2 linked regions of the Ovis aries genome follow. The protein of the gene in region 2 purifies or fractionates together with the protein of the main gene of each other region. This does not show direct contact. Links are inferred from orthologs where the notes say so. Each region holds a gene or a part of one and is shown on either strand. Other genes may lie near its edges.

What was found.
Region 1: the proteins of RPS9 (region 2) and CTCF purify together in Homo sapiens (affinity purification with mass spectrometry; 3 studies listed by BioGRID and IntAct, with this or other methods). This does not show direct contact. The link is inferred for Ovis aries from reciprocal best matches to the Homo sapiens genes RPS9 and CTCF.

Annotation. Positions count from the first base shown.
Region 1 is NC_056067.1:34,743,522-34,750,133, reverse strand, and holds the end of CTCF (transcriptional repressor CTCF), read right to left. Parts: exon of another isoform or gene 5,362-6,612; intron 5,346-5,361; coding exon 5,184-5,345; intron 3,891-5,183; coding exon 3,706-3,890; 3' UTR 2,411-3,705; downstream 1-2,410.
Region 2 is NC_056067.1:63,944,289-63,952,560, forward strand, and holds the start of RPS9 (small ribosomal subunit protein uS4), read right to left. Parts: upstream 5,647-8,272; 5' UTR 5,616-5,646; intron 5,437-5,615; 5' UTR 5,332-5,436; coding exon 5,235-5,331; intron 5,037-5,234; coding exon 4,914-5,036; intron 253-4,913; coding exon 66-252; intron 1-65. UniProt on the Homo sapiens protein: Component of the small ribosomal subunit. The ribosome is a large ribonucleoprotein complex responsible for the synthesis of proteins in the cell. Part of the small subunit (SSU) processome, first precursor of the small eukaryotic ribosomal subunit.

The sequences.
Region 1 (6,612 bases), about 29 Mb from region 2:
TTTAATGTGATCCCTATCAAATTACTGATGACATTTTTCACAGAACTAGGACACAGAATCCTAATATTCATATGGAACCATAAAAGACCCAGAATTGCCAAAGCAGTCCTAAAGAAAAACAAAGCAGGAGGCATAACCCTCCTAGACTTCAGACAGACTATAAGCTACAATAATCAGAACTGGCACAAAAGCAGACACATGGATCAATGGAACAGAGGAGACAGCTCAGAAATAAGCCCACACCTACAGTCAATTAATCTTTGACAAAGGAGGCAAGAATATGCAATGAGAAAAAGTCTTTATAGCAAGTGGTGCTGGGGAAGTTGAACAGCTGCATGTAAATCAATGAAATTAGAACACACCCTCTCACCATATGCAAAAAAACACACAAATGACTGAAAGACTTAAACAGAACAAGACACCATATAACTCCTAGAAAACATAGACAAAACATTGTCATAAATCGTACCAATGTTTTAAGTCAAGTGTCCCAAAGCAAACGAAGTAGAAACAAAATTAAACAAATGGGACCTTATCAAACTTACAAGCTTTTGCATAGAAAAGAAAATCAAAAAAAATCTAAGACAACATATGGAATGGAAAAAATATTTGCAAATAATGCAACTGACAAGGGCTTCATCTCCAAAATATATAGAGAGTTCATACAACTCAACAATGAAAAATTAAACAATCCAACCCAAAAATGGGCAGAAGACTTAAGTCATTCCTCCAAAGCAGCACAGATGGCCAATATGCACATGATGATATTCAACATCACTATTAGAGAAATGCAAATCAAAACTACAGTGAGGTACCACTTCTTAACAGTCAGAATGGCCATCATAAAAAACCATTTGATCCAGCAATCCCACTCCTGTGCACATATCTGGGCAAAACTATAATTCAAACACATACACACACCCTATGTTCCTACCTGCACTATTTACAAGAGCCAAGACATGGAAGCCACCTAGATGCCCATCAGCAGATACAGAAGATGTGGTATGTATACACAATGGACTACTCAGCCTCGAAACAGAATGAAAAGCGCTACTGCAGCAACATGGATGCAACTAGAAATTATGTTAAATGAAGTAAATCAGAAAAAGACAAATGCCATATGCTATCACTTATATGTGGAATCTCAAATATGACACAAATGAGCTTATCTATGAATCACAGACATGGAGAACAGACTGGTGGTTGCCAAGAGGGAAGGACAGAGAGGGAGGCTGAGATCAGCAGATGTTAAGCTTTTATATATAGAATGGATTTAAAAAAAAAAGGTCCTACTGTATGGCACAGAGAACTATATTCAATAGTCTATGATAAACCAAAATGGAAAGGAGTATTTAAAAAAAAAGAATGTATATATAACTGAATCACACTGCTGGACAGCAGTAACACATTATAAATCAACTATACTTCAGTAACCAAAAAACCCTGTAATTTGTGGCCAAAGCTTTCACCTACAATGGGTCTGCCAGAGCAATCTGCTCAGAAATGGACAACAGCAAGATGGTAATTCATCAACACAGAAACTTCCTAACGCATTCCCTTCCCAGCATGCTTCCCAGGTGCTAACAGGGAGCTATGCTCTCTAGGTCTCTCCCCGCAGTCTGGTAGTGGCACATCGGTCTCCCCTTTCAAGTGAGTTTCTCTAGGGCAGACAAGAGAAGAACTTCCCCAGGGTCCAGCTTCTCTCTGTTCCCCTGCCATTTAGCAAAGCTTGATGCAATGATCCCAGTTCTCTGTGAGCCAATTTTTTAAAAAGTTATTATTAATCTGTTTACATCTGGGTTCTGCTGGGTCTCTGCTGCTGCGTGAATGCTTTCTCTAGTGGTGCTGAGCGGGGACTACTCTTCGCTGAGGTTCACCGGCTTCTCACTGCAATGGCTTCTTTGGCTGTGGAGCACAGGCTCCAGGTGCGTGGACTTTGGTAGCTGTGGTGCCGGCCTTAGTTGCCATGCGGCATGTGGAATCTTCCTGGACCAGGGATCGAACTCATGTCCCCTGAATTGGCAAGCAGATTCTTATCCACTTTACCACCAGGGAAATCTTGAGCTGAGATCTTGAGGCCAGAGCTCCCCACTGGCCCCTTTTACTTTAAGCTCTGTGGTCCACCTGCTCTACCACAGGGAATCCACTCTTTATGTGGATCATGGGGGCTGGCAGCTGTATAGACTCACATCTCTACTCATATACTTTTGGGGCATTAAAACTTGTAGCAGGATTGATGCCCTCAATAGTCCATCACTTGCCAAGATCATCGCCCATCTGCTAGACAGAAGTGGTCATCCTGGAAGCACAGCTCACTTCTGAAAGAGGCCTGCGCTGTCTGAGATTATGCACACAGACCCCCCTGGGCCCCTGGTTAGGCAGGAATCACACAAGTGGGGGTGTTCGGAGCGCTTGTTAATCCGTTATGATTTATTAGCTGTACAGCAGTAGATCCTCCTCCCCAGCTTTCAACCCCATTACATATTTTATTACAGGTCTCATGTTGGCGTCCTAAAATAATGAAAAATATCACACAGTACAGCTAAGTACAAAATGCATCAACCTAGAGTCTGATAGCTAACTGATGGCTCTCTTAAAAGCAATACACAGAAGAAAAAAGTGTTGAAATCAGCAAGACTGAGGCTCTCTAAAAAACACATTTTAAACATGTGACAGTTCATGTGCAAGAATCACTTTGAGTTGGTTTTGCTTCACATTATTATTTTTTTGAAGATCCGAAGTTTAAATTACTGACCTAGTGAAATTTCCTGGCCCAGCTTTTAAGAGCTGCTGTGACCCACTCATAATCACCCTTCTGCTTCAACAGAGGATTTATAAAACACGAAACTCAGCTACGAACAAAGCAAAGGAAACGTAGATGGGAAATCATAACTGAAAGTTAATTGTGCAAGGTTCAAATGCTGGCTCCATGGGTTGGAGTCGTGGTGCTCCATGTGGGTGTCCGTCACTAGGGCAGCAGTCTCGGTGCCGTTCTGCGACATGATTGTGATCCAATTCCTCGTCAACGTTTACAAACTACCATCTGTAGTAACTTAATTTGCAAGTAATTAAAATGCTGGGTTTTCTTACACTGCACTTCTTTTCAACCTCGTAATTAATGGAAAAGATTAAAATGTAAAAAAAGTTATTTACAAGCTTGACCATACCAGAAACTTTGCCAAGAAAGAGGCAAAGTCTTCAGGACAGAAACCAATCGTAGCATGCCATACTACTGGTGTGCAGCTGACTCCAAGCAAAGGGAGTCAGGGAAAAGCAAAAGCAAAAACCAGTTTAAAAGTTTAAGTCCTTCCCAAGTCTGCATTTACAATTAAAAACTCTCCTGGGAAGAAGACTGTAAGAACTCTGGGAAACCCGGTGGTGGTTTCTGGAGTGGTTTACCATTGCAAGAGAGAGGGTTCAATGTCTCTGTTTCCAGCTAAGAAAACCAGGGAGGCGTGAACACTGTCCTCAGCACTTCACAGTAAACCCTCAGGGACTCAGAACATTCCATGATTTGCTAACATCAAACAGCAAGTTCTAGTTAAATCACATTTTCTAACATCATCCTTGAAGTTTTAGTTCTCAGTATGTTTGGTAAAATGATGCTTTTCCCAAAGCCAAAAGAAGAAAGAAGGGAGAAAAATTAAGATGCAGGCCGTTTAAACACAGCCCAGAGCAGTCCTGGCAAGGAGCAAGGCCCTGCCATCACCGGTCCATCATGCTGAGGATCATCTCAGGCGTGAGGTCTCCGTTGGGGGCATCTGTGGCAGCTGGCTGGGCCTCCTCTTCCTCCCCCTCCGCAGGCTCTGCATCTGGCTCTTTTTTGACTTCAACTATAATGTTCTCAATTGCACCTGTATTCTGGTCTTCGACCTGAATGATGGCTGTTGCTGGCAAAGAAGAGCATGAAGAAAACAAATGCTCCATTAAAGCCCCCAAGAATTGCAAGGGTCTTTTCAGACTTTGACACTAAATGAAAGTCAGCAACACAGGAAAGCCTCAGTTTTGATATAGAGAACATCAATAAAAAAGACTTAATAACCTATAATGTGGCCATACACAAAGCCCAAATACTCTAGATAGTACCAAAAAACAAAGTACTGACATTCCTCTTCATATGCCTCCCAAATCATGTGTTAAAAACCTTAAGCTTTCCTGTATCTCATAGATTAGGGCTTCACAACAGTCAGTGTGACACAGGCAAAACATGCAGGGCGCACGAGTCAAGGCAGGCCTCAGAGTGGAGGGCGCGGGCAGGCCTGTCTCAGAGATGCCCCACCTGCAGCGCAAGAGCCCGACACTTTTAACAAACTTATCTGTGCCAGGTCTTAGTTGCAGCACACGAGCTTAGCTGTGGCCTGCAGGATCTAGTTCCTTGATCAGGGATTGAACCTGGGGGCCCCTGCATTGGGAGTGCAGTCTTAGCCATGAACCTCCAGAGAAGTTCCAGAACCTGATATTTTTGCATCTGAAGCTGTCCAACACCGAGGGTTCTACCACCAGTTTGTTCACTCAAATATTTGTAGGTCAAATAGTTCCCCCACCACCCCTCTGTAATAAGACATTTTGACATGGGGCTCAAGGAACATATTAAAAAAACAGATGAAACACTGCATTTGTTGAAGAAAGAAAAAGAATTGCCAGCTTTTCGGAGATTCATGAATAGAACAGACACCTGAGACTCCCTAGAGCCTGCAATTACAAGGGCCATGTCCAGTACAGGACTGCTCCCCAATGTCTTCTCATAAATCAGGAAGGCAGCAACAGAATCCATGTCATGGGTCTGGGTTTCTTAGGAGGGACACTGTCATCATGGAAATCCCTTTATTCCTCCATCCTTTAAAATTTGGCTCTTATACATTACATTCATTACCATGTCAATTTTACCAGCTAACTAAGACTCTAATTGTTTTGTAAAACCCTCTGACACTGACAATACCCATCTCATAGTAAGTACCCTTTGACTCTGGACTTTATCTTGCTGAAACTTAACAATCCTCTAGAGACTTTCTCAGATGTTCCCCAATAAAAAACTAAAAAATCGCTTCCTGAGAATTTGTTCCCAGTGTGACCTTAACTTGTTCTCATGGCTCGGTTCCCATCTATCCAGAGAACAAGGACCTGTCTGGCTTCCCCACATTAGGAGAGGACGCCAGCCTACTGAGCTGAGACAAGCAACTTACGCTGGGTCTGTTTGGGCTGGTTGGTTCTGCCAGGGGGGCGTCCTCTCCGTTTCTTGGCAGGTGGTGGGGCTGGGGTCACTGGCTGGGGCTCTGGCTCGGGTTCAATCTCCACGGCAGGCTCCTCCTCATCCTCATTGTCATCCAAGTCTGGCTCAGCATTTTCTTCTCATGAAATCAGGAAGAAGAGGTGGTGGGGCAAGGAGACGAGTGGAGGAAGGAAAAGCAACACACAAATAATCACGTATTCTGTGAAGTCTGATTAAATGTTTATTTTCATTGTTAATAGCCCATTTAAAAATTACATTTCACTGGAATTTTTGTTTTCAGCACTAAAGAAAGTAAGCTGGTATTAATACTAAATTAATAAGCAAATCAACTTGATTACCATTATTCATATTTTATGTGGACTGGATATTCTTTTGGCTTTAGATATCAGAATATTGAGTTTCAAATTCTTAAAGGCAACTCCACCTTACACCAGTTATATAAACACCCCTGCCAAGTGGTGTTTTAAGCTCAAAATGAAACAAATGTTCCCTCTACCTACTATACACGGATAAAACAGGACACTAAGCCTGAGATGGACCCCTAAAGAGTAGTGGAAGCTGTGTGTGTGTGTGTGTATAAAGTTCTTGAAGCACCATGAGGTCCCATTTACTAGGAAAGTGTTGAGATCAAATTTGGGGATTTAATTCCCTGCTGTCCCAAACCCAGTGGGTCCTCCTAACTCCCTGACCTTCTCCCTAAAGCAACTACCACATAAAAAGAGAGGGACTTATTGTAGAAAAGAACACTGATGAAGAGCCTGATAATTCCGTTTTGAGTCTCAGATCTCCTAAGTGTGTGACCTGGGATGATAACCACAATGAACCTCAGTTTCCTTGTGTAATCTCTAAAGCACTCTCAAGGATCACAAAGAGCTAATGCCTGTAACTGTGCTCTGCAACTTACATTCTACCACATCATCACAGATGCTTTTTGCACTAGACATCAGAGTTTATAAAAATTCTCCATTATTCCATATAGGCTTCATTAAGTAAGAGGCATTACCCTCCTTTTATAAAAACAGAGAAACTGAAGTGATTTATAAGACACAACTAACCGCAGTTTGGGGATGTTCTGCCACCCACACCTGAGGCAACTGGAGAGCTCTTCCTACCCCTCCCCCACTGCCATGGCAGAAAGACATCCTGCCTGCCTTCCTCCAAGAAGCACAGGTTACAAGCACATTCTTTTTCACTCACACCCAATGTTTAAATTTAGAAATCTGTGGGTAAACGCCCGATCGTCGGGACAAAATGCCTTGTCAAGTGACTGAAATCCTAAGTGAAAATGTGGGGAACGTACTGGTCCGTGGCAGCGTGTCAAGAACGACATGCTTCCCTGCTGAACTTATTCAAGCCCCCTACTGCCTAGGTTGGCCCAACGC
Region 2 (8,272 bases):
GTGCTCAGCGAGGGCGTCCCTTCAGGGGGCAGGGTGGGGAGGCTCCGGGAGCCCCAAGGGGGTACCTGATGTGACGCTGGCGGATGAGCACGCGGGCATGGTGGATGGACTTGGCCAGGCCCAGCTTGAAGACCTGGGTCTGCAGACGTCTCTCCAAGAAATCCTCAATCTTCAGGCCCAGGATGTAATCCAGCTTCATCTTGCCCTCGTCCAGCACCCCGATACGGACGAGCCGCCGCAACAGGGCATTACCTGGTGAGGGGGCACAGAAGCCTGCCTCAGCCTTCTGGTTCAAACCCGGCACCTCCGCACCACGGCGGTGAGGCCCAGCAGGAAGGAAGGTTCTGATACAGGACTCGAGGCGCTGCTGCACAAGCCGCCGTGACTGCCGGGACCCTCACCACCCTGGGCAGACGACGACCCACAACTCGCCTGAACGAGGGAGAGCCCTCCAGAGCGCTTAGGAGAGCGCAGACTACATGCTGCGGCCCTCCACTAGTCCTCCCGGAACACAGCACAGGGCCACGAGCTAACATGCTAGAGCCCAAGAAGCCCTACCACTCAAACGCGCGCAAGCCACCTCCCACATCTCGCACCGGAGCAGCGTCAGTGCCATCTGTCGGGCCCGGAAGAGACGCGGGCCCACGCGCCAGCTGAGTGCTTGCCGTCCATGCTCTACTGAGACAACGGTGAGGATGGCCTCAGTGCCTGGCAAAGTAGACCAGCGGGCGCCAGCTTCTCCCTGGCACCCGGCAACTCAAGCTTCAGGGGCCCTTGCCTGGGGGCGTCCAAGCGCCACTCAAGAGAGCTCCGGGGTCGCTGCCGGCTGCACTCCCGGGGCTGGTTATCATCACAGAGGGTTATCATTTATTAGCTCCTAAAAGCACCATTACCACCCACACCCCCCGCCCCCAGACAAAGCCTGAAGGAAAGCTGGCTGACTGTCACAGCCTTCCTAGCAGACTCGCAGCCAAGGAGAATCTGAGTGGAGAAACATACTACGCCTTTTCCAACACCCCAGGTACCAATCTGCCCTGAATACACACTGAACACAAGTCAAGGATAGTCTCCCATTTCCAAGTGCATAGAAATCTTAGTGAAAAGCCTGCACAATGAGAACTGCAAAACACCATCAAAGAAACTAAAGACGCAGACGCAAAGAAATTCAGTGCTCATGGACTGGGGCCGCAGCTAAAACACGCCCACACTACCTATAGCGACATACAGACTGGAGGCAATCCCTATAACAATTCCAATGCCATTTTTCACAGGAAAAGAACAAGCAATCCTAAAATCTTTATGGAACCAGAAAAGACCCTGAATAGCTAGCTCAAGCCCATCTGGAGGAAAAACAAAGTTGTAAAAAAGACAAAAACAAAAAATAAACAGAAGAAAACCCCCCCAAAGTTGTACACATTAGTCACAGTAATCAAAGCAGTACGACACTACTGGCATAGAAACAGATCAAGGGAGCAGAATGGAGACCAGAAATAAGCCCACATATACAAACGGTCAGTCAATTTACAACAAAGGAGCTGGGCATACACAGTGGGGAAGTCTCTCGATAATGGTGTCTGGAAAACTGGACAGCCACATGCAAGAACAAGGCTGAACCCCTATCTTATCCTGTGCAAAAGTTAACTAAAAACCATGAATTCCCACAAGGTCCAGCAGTGAGGACTCGGAAACTGGTGATTCCACTGCAGTGGCCCCGGCTCAGCGGTAAAGAATATGCCTGCAACACAGGAAATCCCTGGTTGGGGGGCGGGGGAGATCCCAGGGGGAAGGAAACGGCAGCCTACTCTATCATTCCTGCCGTGGAAATCCCATGGACAGAGGAGCCTGGCGGGCTACGGTCCATGGGGTCCACTGGGAGTTGGACATGACTTAGCGACTAAACAACAACTGGGAATGAAGATCCCTTAAGCTCTCCAGCGGGGGGAAAAAACAAACCCAAAGTGGATTAAACACAGGAATGTAAGACCTGACACCATGAAACTCCTAGGAACACAGGCACTACCCTCCTTGACCTCAGTCTCGGAGATGATTGTTTGGATCTGATTCTAAACTAAAGGTAACAAAAGGAAAAATCAACAAGTTGGACCACATCAAACTAAAAAGCTTCTGCAGAGCATAACAAAAAGAAAAACCACCTTCGGAATGGGAGAAAATATTTATAAATCACATATCTAATAAGGCGTTAATAACCAAAATATATAATGAAATAATACAACAGCAAAAAAAAAAAAACACTTCGATTAAAAAATGGGAAGATGATCTGATGTTACTGTGGAGATCATTTCACAATATACAAATGTATCATTCTGTTCCATACTCATAATGTCAAATGATAAATTATACAATTTAAAAACTGAACATAATAATCAAATATTATTATAAAACATATCCAAAGGTAAACAAAAGTGAGTTTGGAATTATCTACCAGTTTGGACACTTCATGTCTTTTTGTACTTATATTAGAAAATAAACATCTGACAATAACTCAACCTGTATTACTTTGAAAACATATTTTACTTACTATTATTAACCCACCTACATCCTTTAATAGTGAGTAGGAAAAATCTTACTGGATATGAAGACAAAAATAAAACTGATAAACTTGCAGCCTTCAGCAACAGGAATGTGTCAAACTACTGAAAATTGATAAACGGTTTTCATTTGGCCAAAAGAATTAACAATCAGAATCAGCCAAATCAAAGTTTGTTTAAAAAAAAAAAAAACAACTGTATGCCAGTGGGCACCTCAATGGCCAAGGGGCCCTTGTCTCTATGGCATGAGGCAAGCATTTAAGGGCCTTAGTTTCTAATATGATGTGTTAGTCACTCAGTCGTGTCCAACTCTGCCAGGCCCCTGTCCACAGCATTCTCCAGGTAATAAGCTGGAATGGGTTGCCATTCCTACTCCAGGGGATCTTCCTGACCCAGGGATCAAACTCCCACTAAGGTGTGAGTCTTATGACAAAAAGAGTCACAGGTGTCAACTCCCACCTCACACCAGAACAGGGTAGAGAATCTGCCTGCAGTGCAGGAGAGCCAGGTTTGGTCTTTACCCTGTGCTGGTGTCAGGTGAGAGCTGATACCTGTGAATGACTGAATGAAATGAACCAGTAACTCTTCTTGTCAGGTAAGACTCACACCTTAGTAGGAAAGGCTGGACCTCAAACAAGGCCAAGCTGCAGCAGTAAGCAAACACCTCAGAGCTCCCAGGCTCCTCCTCTCCATCCCAGCAATCTAGCTTCACTCACTGTGGATTACTTGCTGTTGCCCTCCCCACGCAACATCCCCCCTGGAAAACCAAGTAATCCCTGGACACCCGCTGCTCAACCCTGCCCTGTGCCATCTCTTTGTCACATGACTGGTTAGCACCTAAGTTTCTCTGTGATTAACTCTCCAGCAAGTTTCCCTGAGACCAGAACAAGCTGAGGTCTGTCCCCCAAACTCTGGGACAGAGTTCCACCCAATACCAACATCCACCAGGGAGATTCCTGAATTCTCACAAGTGTCAAAGGAGCTTCCGAACTAACAAAGGTTAAAAATGAGAACCTCTCACACCCTTGGAACTGGGATAGATCAAAGTGATGAATCTGTTAGTGTAACCTCTCCAAACCTTTCTCAGTCTCTACTATGGATGACTACTAATGCTTAACACAAGTGTAAGAGCACTTCCATCCTTAATCACGGTTTGGGAGAAAAATCAGACTAGCCACTCTAATTGAAAATAAAAAGCCAGCTGCCCAAGTTAGCCCAATCCCTCCTCACTTTCACTAGAATCAAGATTTCCCGGGGTCAGACCAAAAGCAGCATCAAGATAATACCTACAAAATGGCCAATTCTAGAGGTAACTAAAAACAAATTTTAGATACTGTGAGCAAACTTCCTGTTGTGTAAAGTTTATCCTAATAAAAGGTGTCACAAAAAACAGATACACCTACACCAAAAAAGAGTCAGCTACAGCCAAGGTCGTTAGAGTCACAAACTGTCTATGAAGCTCCTCCACACTCGGGACAGAATGCAGCACCAAGTCTACTGACTACTCTCACATTTAGGAACTGTTTCAACTTGGCGTGTTACCTAACCATCATCTGGAAGCCTCCTTCAACTCCCAACCCTGAGCTCGCGTGCCCTCCAGTCCCACCTACTGCGGGAAGTCTCGATCACTTGCTCATTTGAAGACTGTGATCCAGTACCCCCGCCAGTCTACTTGTGCAAATGTACACCAAGAGCATAGAAAAGATATTCAGTGAGCCTTATAAAGTACCAGCTTTCTTAGTATTTTCACCATCTGACAACCTAAGAGGTCCTACTGAAATATGAATGATATCGTCCCTTCCAAAAGCCCATCAACCTCACATCTTAAAGCAGATAGACCTTAAGAGTCTAAAAGATGGCAGTTTGTCAAATATACCACACCATCATTTTTTTTCACCTTAAATCATACGGTGGGTTCCCTCTAAGATCACCTGGAACCGTTCTTTCCTGTGAAACCCACAGGTCCTCTACTGTTCAGACCCTGAGTAAACGTCCTTCACCATCGTGCTAAAGGCGGCAAATACACACACTCAAGTTCCACCCTGGTGGGACTTCTCAAATGTCACCGTCCAGTCCCTCTAGCAGGGAACAAGAACGTAAGGAGCAATACTGCTCTGTGAACTATGTATAGATATAACCAGGTGCCCAATACTTGGCACTGTTAGTTCTAGTCCACTGGAAACCGATTCTCAGTGTTTGAATAAAACAGACATAAACAAGAAAAAAGCTACGTACTCGGAGATTCAGACCTATTTCTCTACTCCATAACTCCTATTAAAAGCTGGATTCAATGTCTTGCTCCATGTCTTGCACAACCCTAGAAGGAAGAACACCAGCAGCTCTCCCGGGGGCTCACAAACACACCTTCGAACAGACGCCGCGGGTCTTTCTCATCCAGCGTCAGCAGCTCCCGGGCAGCCTTTCGGATCTTGGCCAGGGTGAATTTGACCCTCCAGACCTCACGTTTGTTCCGGAGCCCGTACTCGCCTGCAGAATGAGTGAAAAAGCTCAGTCCCATGGACTAGTGAAAAAGGATTAGTGATTTCGGGATACAGAAAAACAACAATCCCGCAACTGGGTGAGGAGGGCGAACACACTGGAGAATTTTAACGAGCACGTGGGCGGCCTCACCCACGTGTCAGCTTCCCCAGCCCGGGAAACAGAAACCTAGCTTTAGCCACTCACCGATCAGCTTCAGCTCTTGGTCGAGGCGGGACTTCTCGAAGGGTCTCCGCGGGGTCACATAGGTTTTGCGACAAACCCAGCTCCGGGCGACCGGCATGCTGGCTCTGTTTGCCCGTCTGCGCCTGCGCGGGAAGGAGAGCGGCCTGAGAGGACTCGGCGGCGCCTGCGCAGTCCCACAACTACGCCAAGAGCCTCCCGGCGCCTAGGGAAGATATCGCGAGAACCGTCCCTGAAGAGTTTTATAACCGACTATTCATTTCTACCACTTTCCAGTTACGCCCATTTCACCTCCAACTGCTTTAGCGTACTCATTAAAGGTCGAATAGCCCGCAAGACTTTACGACCGACACCCAAAATACCGAACGCGGCCGCAAGGCTCACCTGAGCGAACGCTCTGGAAACCAAGAAAGAGGAGCACACGTTCGCCGGCCGCGTTCTTATAGCAACGTCGCCATCTTGTGACGTCAGCACGCAGAGCGCAAGTTTGCACCAATCAGAAAAGGCCTTGGCGGGCGGACAAAGCAGTCAAGAGGAGAGCTTGGGCTAGAGTGGCGTGCTGAACCGGGAGGACTCCTGAGGGATTAATGCTCGGTCTGGTGCGACGTGAGGGCTCCTCTCTTAAATCACCACTCAGCTAACGTCTGAGTCGCGGTATGAAGCTGGAGTAGTCACGGCCTCCGCCGCTAGGCTTCAGCATGCTGCGTCTCTCTGAAGAGATCTCCAGAGGACTGGACCTATGCGAATTCAGAGCCCCTTCCAAGATGCTCTGTTATATCCATGAATACTTTTTAAAAAATAATTTTTCATATCAGAATGTCTACGCGAGGCACAGCCAGAAGCCAGTCTGCCCTTTTGAACCCTTCAACAGCCCCTCTGTTCGTGAAACTTTGAGTCTAAGGGAGGAGAGGGAAAATAATAAGGTCTTTTCAGATAGCTGCTGTGAGGAAAATAAATTATTGGTAATGACTGAGCTTCTCTGATGACTCAGTGGTAAAGAATCCGCCTGCAGTGCGGGAGACCCAGGTTCGATCCCTGGGTTGGGACGATCCCCTGGAGAAGGAAATGGCAATCCACTCTAGGACTATTGCCTGAAAAATCTCATGAACAGAGGAGCCTGGCAGGCTACAGTCCACGGGGTCGCAAAGGGTCGGACAGGATTAAGCGACTAAGCACATCTCTCAGTGACGGAGGGAAAATGGTATTTCAGAAAGGATGGTCAGGGAAGCCTCCTTAAGAAGGTGACTGATGAAAACTGTGATGTGTGTGTGTATGTGTGTATACACGTAAAGGTAACTAACTTTTCCTTAAACGAGATCCAATGATTAAAAGACTCTGTGCCTCTTTGTGAAAGCAGTTTATATCCTGAGGTTTTCTTTGGGTTTCCAGAACAGGGAAAATATTCTGAAACCTCTTGCTATAAACCTGAAATATATATATATCTCCTCTCAGACAGCCCCAGGATTATTGCCTCTAGTGCTTTTCTCTCTGGGATAATCCCATTCACACCAACTTTATCTTGGTTAGATAATATTTAACAAGCACTCTAAATCTCCTAGGCTTTGGGTTAAACACCTTACAGTTTTGGGTGTTTTGTTGTTGTTGTTATTGTTGTTGATGTTTTAATTCATGTGACCCATTATTTCTATCACTAAAAATAATAGGTGGCATTCTAGAATACTTAATTACTATGCATCAGGCCCCATTCAAAGAATTGTACCCATGTTAATTTACTTAATCCTGGGCTTCCCAGTGGCGCTAGTGGACAGAGAAGCCAGTCAGGCTACAGTGTGTGCATACTAAGTTGCTTCAATTGTGTCCAACTCTCTGCAACTCCATGAACTGTAGCCGACCAGGCTCCTCTGTCCTTCAATCGTGTCTAATTCTCTGCAACCCCGTGAACTGTAGCCCACCAGGATCCTCTGTCCATGGAATTTCTCAAGCAAGATACATGAACTGTAGCCGACCAGGCTCCTCTGTCCTTCAATAGTGTCCAATTCTCTGCAACCCCGTGAACTGTAGCCCACCAGGATCCTCTGTCCATGGGATTCCTCAGGCAAGATACTGAAGTAGGTTGCCATGCCCTCCTCCAGGGGATCTTCCCAGCCCAGGGATCAAACCCGCGTCTCTTGTCCCTTGTGCTTTCAGGCTGGTTCTTTGCCCCTAGTGCCACCTGGGAAGCCCTATAGTTTCCTGTGCTATCTAGTAAATTCTTGATTTTTACCTGCTTTACATATTGTCATGTGTATATATTAATCCCAAACTTATAATTTATCTTCCCTCCCCTCACTGTTCCCTTTGGTGACCATAAGCTTGTTTTCCATGTCTGTGAGTCTGTTTGTTTTAATAATGTTTATCTATTTTTTTCTAGATTCCACATAAGCGATTGCCATGTCATGCTTGTCATTGCCTTACTTCACTAGTTGTCATTACCTATGACCATCTCTAGGTCCACCCATTTTGCTGCAGATGGCAAGATTTCACTCTTTTCTATGGCTGAGTAATACCCCATTGCACATATGTACCGAATCTTCTTTATCCATTCATCTGTTGATGGACACTTAGGTTGCTTCCATGTCTTGGTTATTGTAAATAGTGCTGCAAGCACCTTTTCAAAGTATGGTTTTCTCAGTATACATGCCCAGGAGTGTGACTGCTGGGTCATTTGGTAGTTCCATTTTTAGTTTTTTAAGGACCCTCCATACTGTTCTCCCTAGTGGCTGTACCAATTTACATTGCCACCAATAGTGTAAGAGGGTTCCCTCTTCTCCACACCCTCTCCAGCATTTATTACCTGTCGGGGCCTTGAGTTCTATCCCTGGTAGACATGACTGAGCAACTAAATGCAGGCTCCTCTGTCCATGGGATTCCCCAGGCAGGAATAATGGAGTGGGTTGCCATGCCCTCCTCCAGGGGATCTTCCCAACCCCGGCATCGAACCCAGGTCTCCCACATTGGAGGCACACTCTTTACCGTTTGATCCACCAGGGAAGCCCATGGGGTCACAAAGAGTTGGACACGACTCAGCGACTAACACACCT